3 linked regions of the Notamacropus eugenii genome follow. The protein of the gene in region 3 interacts with the protein of the main gene of each other region in a pairwise test. Links are inferred from orthologs where the notes say so. Each region holds a gene or a part of one and is shown on either strand. Other genes may lie near its edges.

Region 1 (3,749 bases), on a different chromosome or scaffold from region 3:
CTGTCTCCCAATCCAAGTTGCGTTTGTCCTGTGTTTTTGAAGAGAACCATGACATCAGGGAAATGATGACATGAGTTGCAGTTGACTGATTTGAGTGAGAGAGGGCTGAGCAAGGTCACCAGCCTCTCTTTCTCCTCCAGAGCCATCTGGGACCAGTGGTCGGATATTCATCAGGATGACTAGAGAAGGTCCAGGATACAATGGGAGACCCTGGCCCTTTCAGGTTAAGTCCTTTTCAGGTACTTACTTAGAGTGAGGTAACACCCATTAGTGAATAGGCTTCTTTAAGAAGTGAGTCAAGGGATGGCTCCTTTAATTAGAAAAAAGGGAAAAAAAATCAAAGTTGGAGGGGAAGACCCTCAGGGTTGCTGTTCCAAAGAGAAACAGTTACCATTGACATTCTCTCTAAGCCAAGAGATCCCCAAAATGAGTGGAGCTTGGGCAGGGACCTATAGTGGTCCAATCTGTGGCTTCAGAGTGAACTGGGTTTAAGGTTTTGTGAAAGAAGAAAGAAAGAAAAAAAGAAAAAAAGAAAAAAAGGAAGGGAGGAAGGAAAGAAGAAAAGAAAACTAGCCAGTAAACCCCAAGTTAACTGGGCAGCTTCTGACCATCAAAATTTACCTTCCTTTGGAGAAGAGAAGGAGAGGGAGAGAATGAGCTGAGTTACCCAGCTAGCCACTACTCTGCTCTACAACACTGTCTCAAACAAAGTAATTTTTATTGTCATTCAGAGAATACTCTACCCAGTTCAGAAGTCATAGAAATAATGGGTACTGTATTTGATACTTGTACTAGACAGAATATTTGACAGGAAATATAAGGGGAAGGTATACTGAGTATTACAAATTAAAAATTTTCCAATCAGAGCAGAAATGTGAAAGAAATTCCAACTAACTAGCATTCCACATTTATTAGGAAAAAAATTCACCTGCTCCCTATTGATGCAAACCCTTATCCTGTCTTCCCAGTTATCACATACTCACTCAATATCAAATAACAGCAGGAGGTACCAGTTACTCAGTATTGTATCCTCCACTCGATCACCTTAATGGAATTTTGGATCCAGAAGACTATTAAAATCAACGTACAAATAATGATCCAATATCTAATAAAATACTTCTAGGATCACAATTTTGACTCATAAAAAGCATCTCTAAAATTATTGTGACTTAATACCATGAGTCATTTTCTCCTTTCTACTTGATACTGTAAATGACCTAAATGGATTTCCTCAAGGTAATAATTAACTTACTGAACAATTCATCAAATAGTAGCCTCTTTCAACATTACAGAATATTCACCAAAACTTTATTTTTACTACTTGTTCTTTTCTTTTTTTGCTCTTCTGTCATTTTTCAGTTGTGTCCAACTCTTTATGACCCCATTTGGGGTCTCTTGGCAAAGATACTGGAATGGTTTGCCATTTCCTTCTTCAGCTCATTTAGTACAATGTATTCTTACTGAAAATAATAGCTTTGGATGTCTTTTCAGATTCACAGAGGTGGAGCTAGAACACACAGAAGAAAACCCCACCAAGATAAACATCCTGATATATTGTGTAAATCCAAGAGTATAAATGAGGCTCTTATGTGATTTTTATTCATATTTCTGAAGATTTCAGGCTTTAGAAATCTGCAGATTGCAATGGATCTCAAAGGTCTCTACTTCGTGGCATTTATCCTGATGTTAGGGTTCTCCAGTACACTTGGTGGATTTGTTGGCTTATGTGAGTATATTCTCTCATTTTCTTGCAGTACACTGAGGACAGGAATAGAATTGGGAGGAATTACAAGGAACAAAGCAGCTAGGAAACCAAAACAGGGAAGTTAATCAGGAAGGTGCCATGCTATTTTTTTTAAGTACAACAAGAAAATTAAGGTGGTTCTTAATTTCAAAAGTTGGCTAGGAAAAAGAGGATCTAAAAGACAATCATTTTTAAATGACAAACTTTTCTTCTGAAAAAACTTTCCATCAGTGAAATCAGGGAAAATGATATTAACAAATAATGTATCAATCATTTTAGCATATTATTAGTGAAAGAAGCTTGGAGACTGAATATTTAGATGATGAGAAGATGTGCATAGTCAAAAAATGTGAAATAATAAAGGAATGACTAAAAATGTCTCAGCAAAACACATCAGTGTAAAGTTTCATTTGTTAAGCCTGTGAAAAAGCAACTCAGATTGTTATAGGTTGCTGGGCAGATTAATATCCAAAACAGCATTTTAATATTCTTTAATGCATTGTATGAGAAAAACAAGAGGATAAATAACAGCTCTGTCTAAAAACTTTTAAGATTATTCTATGGCACACTTTTGATACTTGACTTATAAACACTCATTATCGTTAAGGATTTATTTTGTTTCTCTTTAGCCATTTACATTGAAAGAAGATAGTTAAAACAAGCTAGTCTTCTTTTTTAAAGTCTGTTTGATGAAAGAAATGTGTCATCATAATTTGAAGTTAGAATGGTGTTGGATACAAATTTCCCAAAGAAAAAGAAAATACTTTCCAAGAAATTTAACTTAATTTTTTTTTTTGTTTGAATCAGCTCCTGATCAATGTGCTGTCCCAGCCAAAGAAAGAGTAGACTGTGGCTACCCTGAAGTCACTGCAGAACAATGCATTAACAGAGGGTGTTGCTTTGATTCCAGCATCCCTCAAGTACCCTGGTGCTTCAAACCTCTCCAAACAGAAGGTAACTGTTAATGGGAAAATCATTTCTTAAACATTTATCAGATTGGAACCATTATGTTAAGTGCTGAGAATACAAATTTAAAAATCTAGAGAGACCTTGACTTGAAGAAACTCACACTTCAATTAGCAGAGAAAAGCACACAAGGAAGTTTAGCTTCATGGGAGATGATAAGGCCAGGAAGTGCTTAGGACTCAGTAAGCAAAGTGGCAGGGCAGATAATAAAGCGTCATAGACCATGGAGGATAAAAAGAGGCCAAACATTCCCTGACCAATGACTATTGGGACTGTGGTAGTTTATGGATTGAAGTGGACTGGGGATGGGAAGTAGGGCCATCATCAACTTGGTCTAGTGTCCTAAGGATAGGAGAGGGGGCATTATCTATTTAAGTCCCAGTGTGAAAGTATGGATTCTTGGATTTGGAAGGGAAATCAGAGGACTCATTCCTGAGCAAGAATCTATCCTACAGTATTCTTAACAAGTAGTCTTCAAGCCTTCATTTGAAAACCTCCATAAATTGAGGATACACTATAACCTGAGGCATCCCATTTCAATTTTGGGGCCCTCTAATTGGAACATCCTCCTAACTGAGACCCAGACATCAGGGCACTTGAGATGAAGTGTCATACTCTTTCATTAGCTTGATTATATCCCTTATGTTTCATCCTAGGAAGTTTTAGATTAAGCAATGATCTTCCTTTCCTTTTGATAAGTACTTTGTGCTTTAAAAAAAACCTAAGTGACAGGTAGATAGAATATTGCCTTCTTGGATGCTCTGAATTAAAAACAAAAGATTCAGAGATTTCTAAACATGAGCAATACCTTTGTGATCATGTAGACCAATGTTCCCATTTTACAGATATGACAAACTAAAGTTTAAAAAAGTTAAATGACTCATCCAAGGTCAGTCAACCACAGGTAGTGACAAAGTCAGGAATTTATATTTAGATTCTATTTGTACAGTGCTCGTTTCACTGGTAAGTTTTGGAATATCTCACCTCTATTAATCAGATCCCTACTTAATTTCCCTATTATAAAATTGATCTTGAGAAG
Region 2 (3,749 bases), on a different chromosome or scaffold from region 3:
TCACTGGTGGCAAGGACAGTGGGAGTGGCCTGGAGAACGAGGTTTGGCCAGTGGAAACTCAAGGACAGCTTTTGAAAATTTCCTTTTTTTCTCCTTTCAATGTCACCCATCTCTAGTCCCTCCTGCTGCCTATCATCAGATCCCTAGGAATCTCCCAGAATTCCACCCTGAAGGGCCAACTACCCATCATCCACATGTGTGTGCCTATGGATGCCTAGGTAATGTAACTCAGCATGATACAATCTTCTAGGCACCTGTATTTACCTCATGAACTGGGTTCCCTGGATACCCTAATGAGAATTCAACACTAATGTTAACAGAAGGATATTTGGCCATTCTTCTTGCCAAAAGTCTGAGTAGGAATTTGGCATCAATAAAGCTCCAGAAGTAGTGATGGGGCAAATATTAACATAATAATAAGAGTAGGAAGGGGATACTTCCAACCAGGGTACCCTGTCATTCATTCTTTAATTTAAATACCAATTATGTGCAAGGTACCAGACTTATTACAGGGTTAGAAATTCAAAGACAAAAATGCAAACCAGTCCCCTGCCCTCAAGGAGCATGTTAGGGCATGAATATGATGACAATGAATGTTGCAGAATGATAAAGAACAATCTTGATCCCAAAGATGGGTTATGAGAAGATATCTCCCCTTCAACTCCTTTGCAGAGATGGGCTGTCTCCGGTTATGGAGAATTGTGTATGTCATATTTGTTCCATGTACTGATTAACTGATTTTCCCTCTTCTTTTTCCTTTTTCCTTATTCTTTTAAAAAAAGTCATTTGTTCTAAGGCATGGCTCCTTGGGACAGAATAGGGGAGGGATATAGGGAGAAATCTAGGGGCTGCAAAAGTTATCAATAAAGTCTGCTAAAACATAAATACGGTGTGATTTAAGGACAGAGATAAAGTACAGATAGGGTAGTGTCCCCAAATTCCCCCCATTGGTCAAGGCCAAGGCAGAAAGGTCCCTGAAACGGGAGGAGTTTCCTGTCTCCTGGCTACTGGGGATCTGGCTCCTGTGAACCTTTATTTAGGCCCAGGTAACTCCTTGATTCAGACTAAGTAATGACTTTGTGTCCTCCAGAGACCAAGTCCAGGATGACAAGTCCTTGTTGCTTCTGTCTTTCCTTTTGCTCTAAAGTCTTTGCATTCTTCCTCCTCTTCCTCACCTGAGGGTAGTTGAGACTGGAAATCTTGTGGGGATGAATCAAGTCACCTACTTTTCTTTTTGAGCTGTTTCAAAGGGAAAGTTTCTCCATCCTGGATCTTTCATCCATATGGGTCCTTACAAGATTGTTTGACCCAAGGCCTTGTGGAGTGTAGTTCTCCTGGGGGAGTGGACAAAATACATCTCTTGGGAGTTAGGAATGAGATAAGAGGTCAACAGAAACTGAAGGGAAATTTTAACTCTGCTCCAGAGAGCTATGGGAAAATGGCCTGGAAAATAGGGATCCCAGGGAACCAAATGCAGAGAGGCATAAGAGAGAAAGCAATTTGGATCTGATGGGCTTCGGCTGCCTTATCCTAGTTTGTTAGGGGGCACTTGGCCAGAGATCTGTTGGTATTGTCTGAACCTTACTCCCCAGCTCTGGCCTCTGTCCATCCATCCATTCCTTCATTTATTTGTTGTTTATTATTGTTGCTATTATTTAGAAACTAGACACTATTACCTCCCTTTGCTCCCTCCATTTAGTGTCCCCGGGGCTCTAAGCTCAGTCTAAATTTGGGCAGTCTGTTGTGGTCTCCGTCTCAGTGTCCTGGGAGCATTCCCTCCAACCCTCAGCTATACACACCCTTTGCTCGATCCTAGGAGTTCTAGAAATTCGAGTCGGCCCTCATTTACAGTGTCGGGGAGAAAGGACTCTAAGCCCTGACATGGGATCTGAATTAGTAGCAGGTAAGTTCCCCACCCCCACCCCAAAGCCCTATCCCCACAAGGAAGGAGTCCTCCCACCTCCAATCCCCACTCATCAGCGCCCAAGGTTTGACTTCTTTTAGGCCACGTGTTGGGTTGGTAAGTTGAGTTGGCTCTTGTTCATCACTTCTCTCTGCAAAGGACGCCCCCTTTCCCTACCACCGTCCCCCCAGCATCCTTCTCTCACCTTCCCCCCGAAGAGATGTCAGTTTCTCCCTTCCTCCCGGTAGGGCCCTGGGCTGGGGCCCGGTGAACCGCTGGGTGGAAGGGTTCTCCCAGCAGGCGCACTTGGCTGCGGACGTCTTGCTTAACAAGTCCAAAGTTCAGCTAAAGTTTGGCTGATAAACAGAACCAATAAAGAAGGTCCCCGGCCCTCAGTGTAAACACCATGGGCTTGAGCAGACCCAGCTCTCCAGCCGGGAGCTCTGTCTTTTTCCATGAGCCTCTCTCGCTCTCTCCCTCTCCCCGACTTTCCCCCTCCCCAACTCCATTTGCATCTGGCCGAAATGCCCGTCCCTTCCCACTGATTTGCATATCTTATATTGGCTAATGGAGGCGATCATGGAAAGTTAGAAGTTTGCTGACTCCTCTCGGAGGAGACTCCGGGACCGGGGAGTAACAGGTGTGCGGAGGCTTCGGGGGGGCTCCCAGACTTGGGGTTTGCTCGTGAAGCTCCCCTCCGCCCTCCTCTCTCACACCACCCCCTCCCCACCCACCCCGAACCCCCCTCTTCTCCAGTCGGTGGAAAATGGTGTCCAAGCTCACGTCTCTCCAGCAAGAACTCCTGAGCGCTCTGCTGAGCTCCGGGGTCACCAAGGAAGTGCTGGCCCAGGCTCTAGAGGAACTGCTGCCAGCCCCGACTTTCGGGGTGAAGCTGGAGACTTTGCCGCTGTCCCCAGGGAGCGGGGCTGAGTCTGACACCAAGCCGGTCTTTCACACCCTTACAAATGGACATGCCAAGGGTCGCCTGTCAGGGGACGAGGGGTCGGAGGACGGAGACGACTATGACACCCCTCCCATCCTTAAGGAGTTACAGGCCCTCAACACCGAAGAGGCTGTGGAGCAGAGGGCCGAAGTGGACCGCATGCTCAGGTACGGGGAGCGCCCAGTGGGCACTCTGGGTGAGTCCTGGACCTAGCTCTTGTCCCCTGCTCTGTGCAGCTCTGTTCAGCCTGGCCCTCCAAAATTGGTTCTCCCTTCCCTCCTGCTCTTGGGGTGCCTGGGTCCCAGACAGAGATGCCTCTGCTGGGCCACCATCAGACTCACCTAAACCTCTCTCCCTTCAGCCCAGACTGGGGCCTGACTAGTCCACTTTTCCCTGTAGCTCACCCTGTAACACCTTGATTCCAGGTATAGTTCTCTAGGTAGGAAAGACAGATACTTGCTTTTAGCTTTTACCCAGGGACGTGGGAAGATGAGAAGCAGCAACCCCTAAGTGGTTGAGCTGGGAGTGGAGGCCTGACTCCAGCTCAGGGTCCCAAACCCAAGAACCTAACCCGGAGCTCGCCGCGGGTATGCACTCTCCGAACTGGAAAAGTTCACCCACCTTGGGCTTTGCTCTTGCTAGGATCCTAGGGAAGACCCACCCCGACCCTGAGCCAAAAACTTTCGGGGGGGCGGGGGCGGGGAAGGGAACAGACTTTGAGCTTCCCCAGCCGCTTGGTTCTGTTTATAGCAGCGCGTTTGAACCCTCCAGAACTCACTGAGGGATCTGGGATTCCCAGAGGGAATTATTAGTGCCACTGTCAGACAGAATACACAGCTTGAAAGGCCTTGCATCCATTCCAACCTTATTTGCAATTCTTCTCCGAGTTAATAGCCAAGAACA
Region 3 (3,749 bases):
CATGGTGGAGAGGCAGCTGTTGTTTTTCCTCTTTGAAGATTTTCAGCCAGAAGGCTGAAGGACCACCTGTTAGGTATGTTACAATAGAGGTTCCTTCAGGGTGTAGGTTATACAAGGTGACTCTGGGGACCCTCATGCCCCCAAGATTCTGTGGTTCAGAGTTCCAATTCCCATTCATTTGGGCCTGGGGAGTGTAATAGCACTATGCACCCCACCATACTCCCAACAGACTTAGCTCCAGTCATGGATCAATGGAAGAGAAATTTAAAATAGCTGATATCTGCAAAGCGTGTCACAGTTGATAGAACGTGTTCCAGCGTCCTGGCTCATTTGGTGCTCACAAGCCTACAAGGGTAAAAGGATGCAACACTCATGTTTCACATAGCTGGGGTACTTTCCTCACAACATCCCATGAGGAAGAGAGAGAAGTAGGATCATCCTGTTTTACAGATGAGAAAACTATAGTGCACAGGGGTTAAGTGACTTGTCCAGAGTCACACAGGTGTGAAGGATCTGGCTTGGAATTTAAATCCAAGGAGAAATGTAGTGTCCCTCACATGGTATCCTAGAAAGTACAATGAGCAGAATGTCAGAGGACCTGGGTTTTTAGTGGTAAAGAACCAAGCCGGTTTTCTGTGTGACTCTGGACATGCCCCCTTTCCTCTCTGGGACCCAGTTTTCTATTCTGTAAAAGAACAGAGTTGGTTGACATGATTTGAGGCCCCTCCTATCTTTAATGCTCTGGGATTCACTCTCTGAGAAAGAAAAGAGGCTGTAAATGCTGACTGAGCCTCCACTAGAAGAGAGCCCTCCTCTGTTAAACATTAACCCGAGAAAGGACAACAGGCCTGCTCTGATTTCCAGGCCTGGGCTCCCTTTTTCTTCCCTTTGACTTAGGGAGAGAAGGGGCTTTTCTGGAAGCTTTGATCAAGAAAGGAGGGGCTAAGGGGAGGGTCAGAGACAAGGAAACTCAGCGATCACTTTCCTGTTTAGAAACCAGGGCTGGTCCCTCAATGAGGGGTAGGAGAATGATAGACACTCAATTTTTTGATTGGAAAGAGTCTAGGTTTAAAACTAGAAACCCTGAAGAGCCTTGCCCCCTTCCCTGGCCAGGCCTTCTTCCCACCCCCAGTGTCCCTCCCCTCCCCTGAGAGCTGGCCCTGGCTGGCTAGAACAGGAGAGGAGCCAGACAGCTGCTGGCAGGGAGTGGATGTAAGCCCTTTGCCACACCCCCTGCTATCAGAGTGGTGAGGGAGCTTTGGCCTCGCTGGTTGAGACTACCTCTCTAACTCCCTCCTGTTTCAGCTGTGGTCCTCCGGGGGATTCTCTCCTGCACCCACTCCTGACATGGTAAGGACCCCATGCTGGGGAAGGGCAAGAGCATTGGGAAGCAGCTGTCCAAGATACCGGATTGACTGAGACAGGGCAGAGACATTGAGGGCTGCCTCCTCTAGGCAGCACAGTCCTGTCCCTCAGTTAATCAACAGCTTGCTTCCTTCCTGCAGGCAGCTCCAGGAATGGGAGGGGGAGGGGGAGAAGTTGGGCAAGCAGGGTTCCTGAAAGGAAAGTCTCTCCACCTGGTGCCAGGCAGGAACCACGGTGTGTCCAGAGGTGACAGAGACCCTCCATAGGCCAGCTGGGAAGTGGAGAAAGCTGAGGTCCAAGGGGAATGAGAGCAAAGCATTCCACCAAGATGACCTCCGAGACTTTCCCGCCCTGAATCCATGTTCCCTCGATCACACTGAATTGCCCTTTGACAGGCAGGTGAATGGGGATTTGTTAAATGACCAAAAGATACAGAGTGGTGCGGACAACCCAGAATAAGGAAGACAAAGTGTTCAAATTTGAGTTCTCCTACTTAATATTTGTATGACCTTAAATATCTCAACTTGTGTCTGGGTCTGTTTCCTCATCTGTAAAATGAGATCCCTTTAACCTCCCAATCTTCCATCCCAAAGAATATATTTGAGGAGGTGGAGGAAAGCAGTAGACATTGACCTCCCAAAGGCAGGGGTTTCTAAGGGAGGATCAGTACCTCTGTAAACCTGGGGGAAATGTGCAGCCATTGGTGCAGGAAAAGGCATCTGTGAGATGTTTGCCTGAATGGCTTTTCGATGAACTAGCCTCACTGGTGTGGGATGGTGTTTCCATACTGGGGGTGGTCTCACCCTCACCCATACCAAGTTCTAGTTCAAAATGGGTGGGGGAGGAGGAGAGGCAGGAATGGATCTAAGAAGCCAGAGAGAGGTCCATACCTGCAGAAGGGGCTAGCCTGGCAAATAGGCATTTGCTTGCTCAGTCTGAGCCAAAAAGTCGAATCAGAACTTTAGAGCTGAAATGAACCTTAGACATAATTTAGCAAAGCCTTAAAATGGGGGAAGGGATGGGGATAGATGGAGAGAGTATAGTCCATACTGAGTAAGAGTCTGTGTCTAATTGGGAGATCTGGGGGAGGGGAAGAAGGATCTGACAGAGTGGGCGGGTGGGGGGTGGGGAGGGTGGTTATTTTTCCTCCAGCCTTTCACAGGCCAGGATACTGGACTAGGTTAATCTCCCTCTGAATCTCTACAAATGTCATCACTTCTCAACCCTTGGACCTGAAGGTCAGAAAGGTATTCATGTTGGGTGGGCATCTGGTGGGAGAGAGACAGAAGAGGAGGAGAGACATTTCAGAATTTCTGAAGAGATCACACCCCTTCCAGGGCCATCCCTGAGCCCTGTTTCCCCAGCCCCCACACCCTCCCTCAACACACCAGACAGCAGATATTAAGGCTCAGTCTGAAGTCTGGTTGCCAAGATACTTGGATGGAGCTTATCAGCCAGTCTGAAAGGGCAGGGGTGATGGTTTCTAGACCTGTGTTTACTCTGAATGTTTCCTCCCACCATGGTGTTCCACCATCTCAGCAGCTATCCAATAGGAAAAAGAGGAGAGGAGGGGAGAGAAGGATAATTCAATTCAACAAACATTTACTGATCACCAGCTATGTGCAAGGCACTGTGGGGGATACAGAGAATGACAAGGCATAAGCCCTGTTGTGATGTTTACAGTCTAGTGGAGATGGTATGACTTGTGTCTATTCAAATCCTACAAGGTTCATCTCAAGCCTTGTCTCCCTGAGGAAGTCTTCCTTGATAACTCCAGTCATCACTGATCACTCCTCTCCCTAAAGAATCTCCCTCTCCCCTCTCCCCACTGTCTATAGGATACATCTAGATATTTTACCCCATTTAACACTATTCTTCAGTGTATTCATTGATCTTCTGTTTCCTGTGTCCAATTACATTATAAGCTACTTGAGGACTGGGACGGTTTCTTTTATTCTTTCTTTGTCTCCCACATGGTAACAGTAACTGGGAATCCACAAGGTGCCTGAAAAGAATGCCAGACTTGGAGTCAGAGTACCTGGCTCTGATACTCATTTTGTCACTCAGTTGTTTCAGTCATGTCCAACTCATCGTGACCTCATTTTGGGGTTTTCTTGGCAGAGATACCACAATAATTTGCCATTTCCTTCTCCAGCTAATTTTACAGATGAGGAACCTAAGGCAAACAGGGTTAAGTGACTTGCCCAGGGTAGGTGTTATTATAATCCCCATTTTATAGTTGAACAAAACTGAGGCAGAGATGAAGTGACTTACCCAGGGTCACACAACCTAAGGTTGGATTTGAATTCAAATGTTTCTGACTCCAAGTCCAGGGCTCTGTCCCCAGGTCACCTAGCTTCCTCTAGTTTGCCTTGGTTTCCTCA

What was found.
Region 1: the proteins of PCBD1 (region 3) and TFF3 interact in binary tests that used the Homo sapiens proteins (3 or more experiments, as listed by UniProt). The two-hybrid records come from large-scale screens. The link is inferred for Notamacropus eugenii from reciprocal best matches to the Homo sapiens genes PCBD1 and TFF3.
Region 2: the proteins of PCBD1 (region 3) and HNF1B interact in binary tests that used the Homo sapiens proteins (3 or more experiments, as listed by UniProt). The link is inferred for Notamacropus eugenii from reciprocal best matches to the Homo sapiens genes PCBD1 and HNF1B.

Annotation. Positions count from the first base shown.
Region 1 is NC_092876.1:416,710,328-416,714,076, forward strand, and holds the start of TFF3 (trefoil factor 3), read left to right. Parts: upstream 1-1,557; 5' UTR 1,558-1,644; coding exon 1,645-1,726; intron 1,727-2,551; coding exon 2,552-2,698; intron 2,699-3,749. UniProt on the Homo sapiens protein: Involved in the maintenance and repair of the intestinal mucosa. Promotes the mobility of epithelial cells in healing processes (motogen).
Region 2 is NC_092873.1:307,004,681-307,008,429, reverse strand, and holds the start of HNF1B (hepatocyte nuclear factor 1-beta), read left to right. Parts: upstream 1-1,331; 5' UTR 1,332-1,903; intron 1,904-2,108; exon of another isoform or gene 2,109-2,381; intron 2,382-2,492; exon of another isoform or gene 2,493-2,659; 5' UTR 2,660-2,669; coding exon 2,670-3,013; intron 3,014-3,749. UniProt on the Homo sapiens protein: Transcription factor that binds to the inverted palindrome 5'-GTTAATNATTAAC-3'. Binds to the FPC element in the cAMP regulatory unit of the PLAU gene. Transcriptional activity is increased by coactivator PCBD1.
Region 3 is NC_092872.1:239,935,292-239,939,040, forward strand, and holds the start of PCBD1 (pterin-4-alpha-carbinolamine dehydratase), read left to right. Parts: upstream 1-1,187; 5' UTR 1,188-1,347; coding exon 1,348-1,350; intron 1,351-3,749. UniProt on the Homo sapiens protein: Involved in tetrahydrobiopterin biosynthesis. Seems to both prevent the formation of 7-pterins and accelerate the formation of quinonoid-BH2. Coactivator for HNF1A-dependent transcription.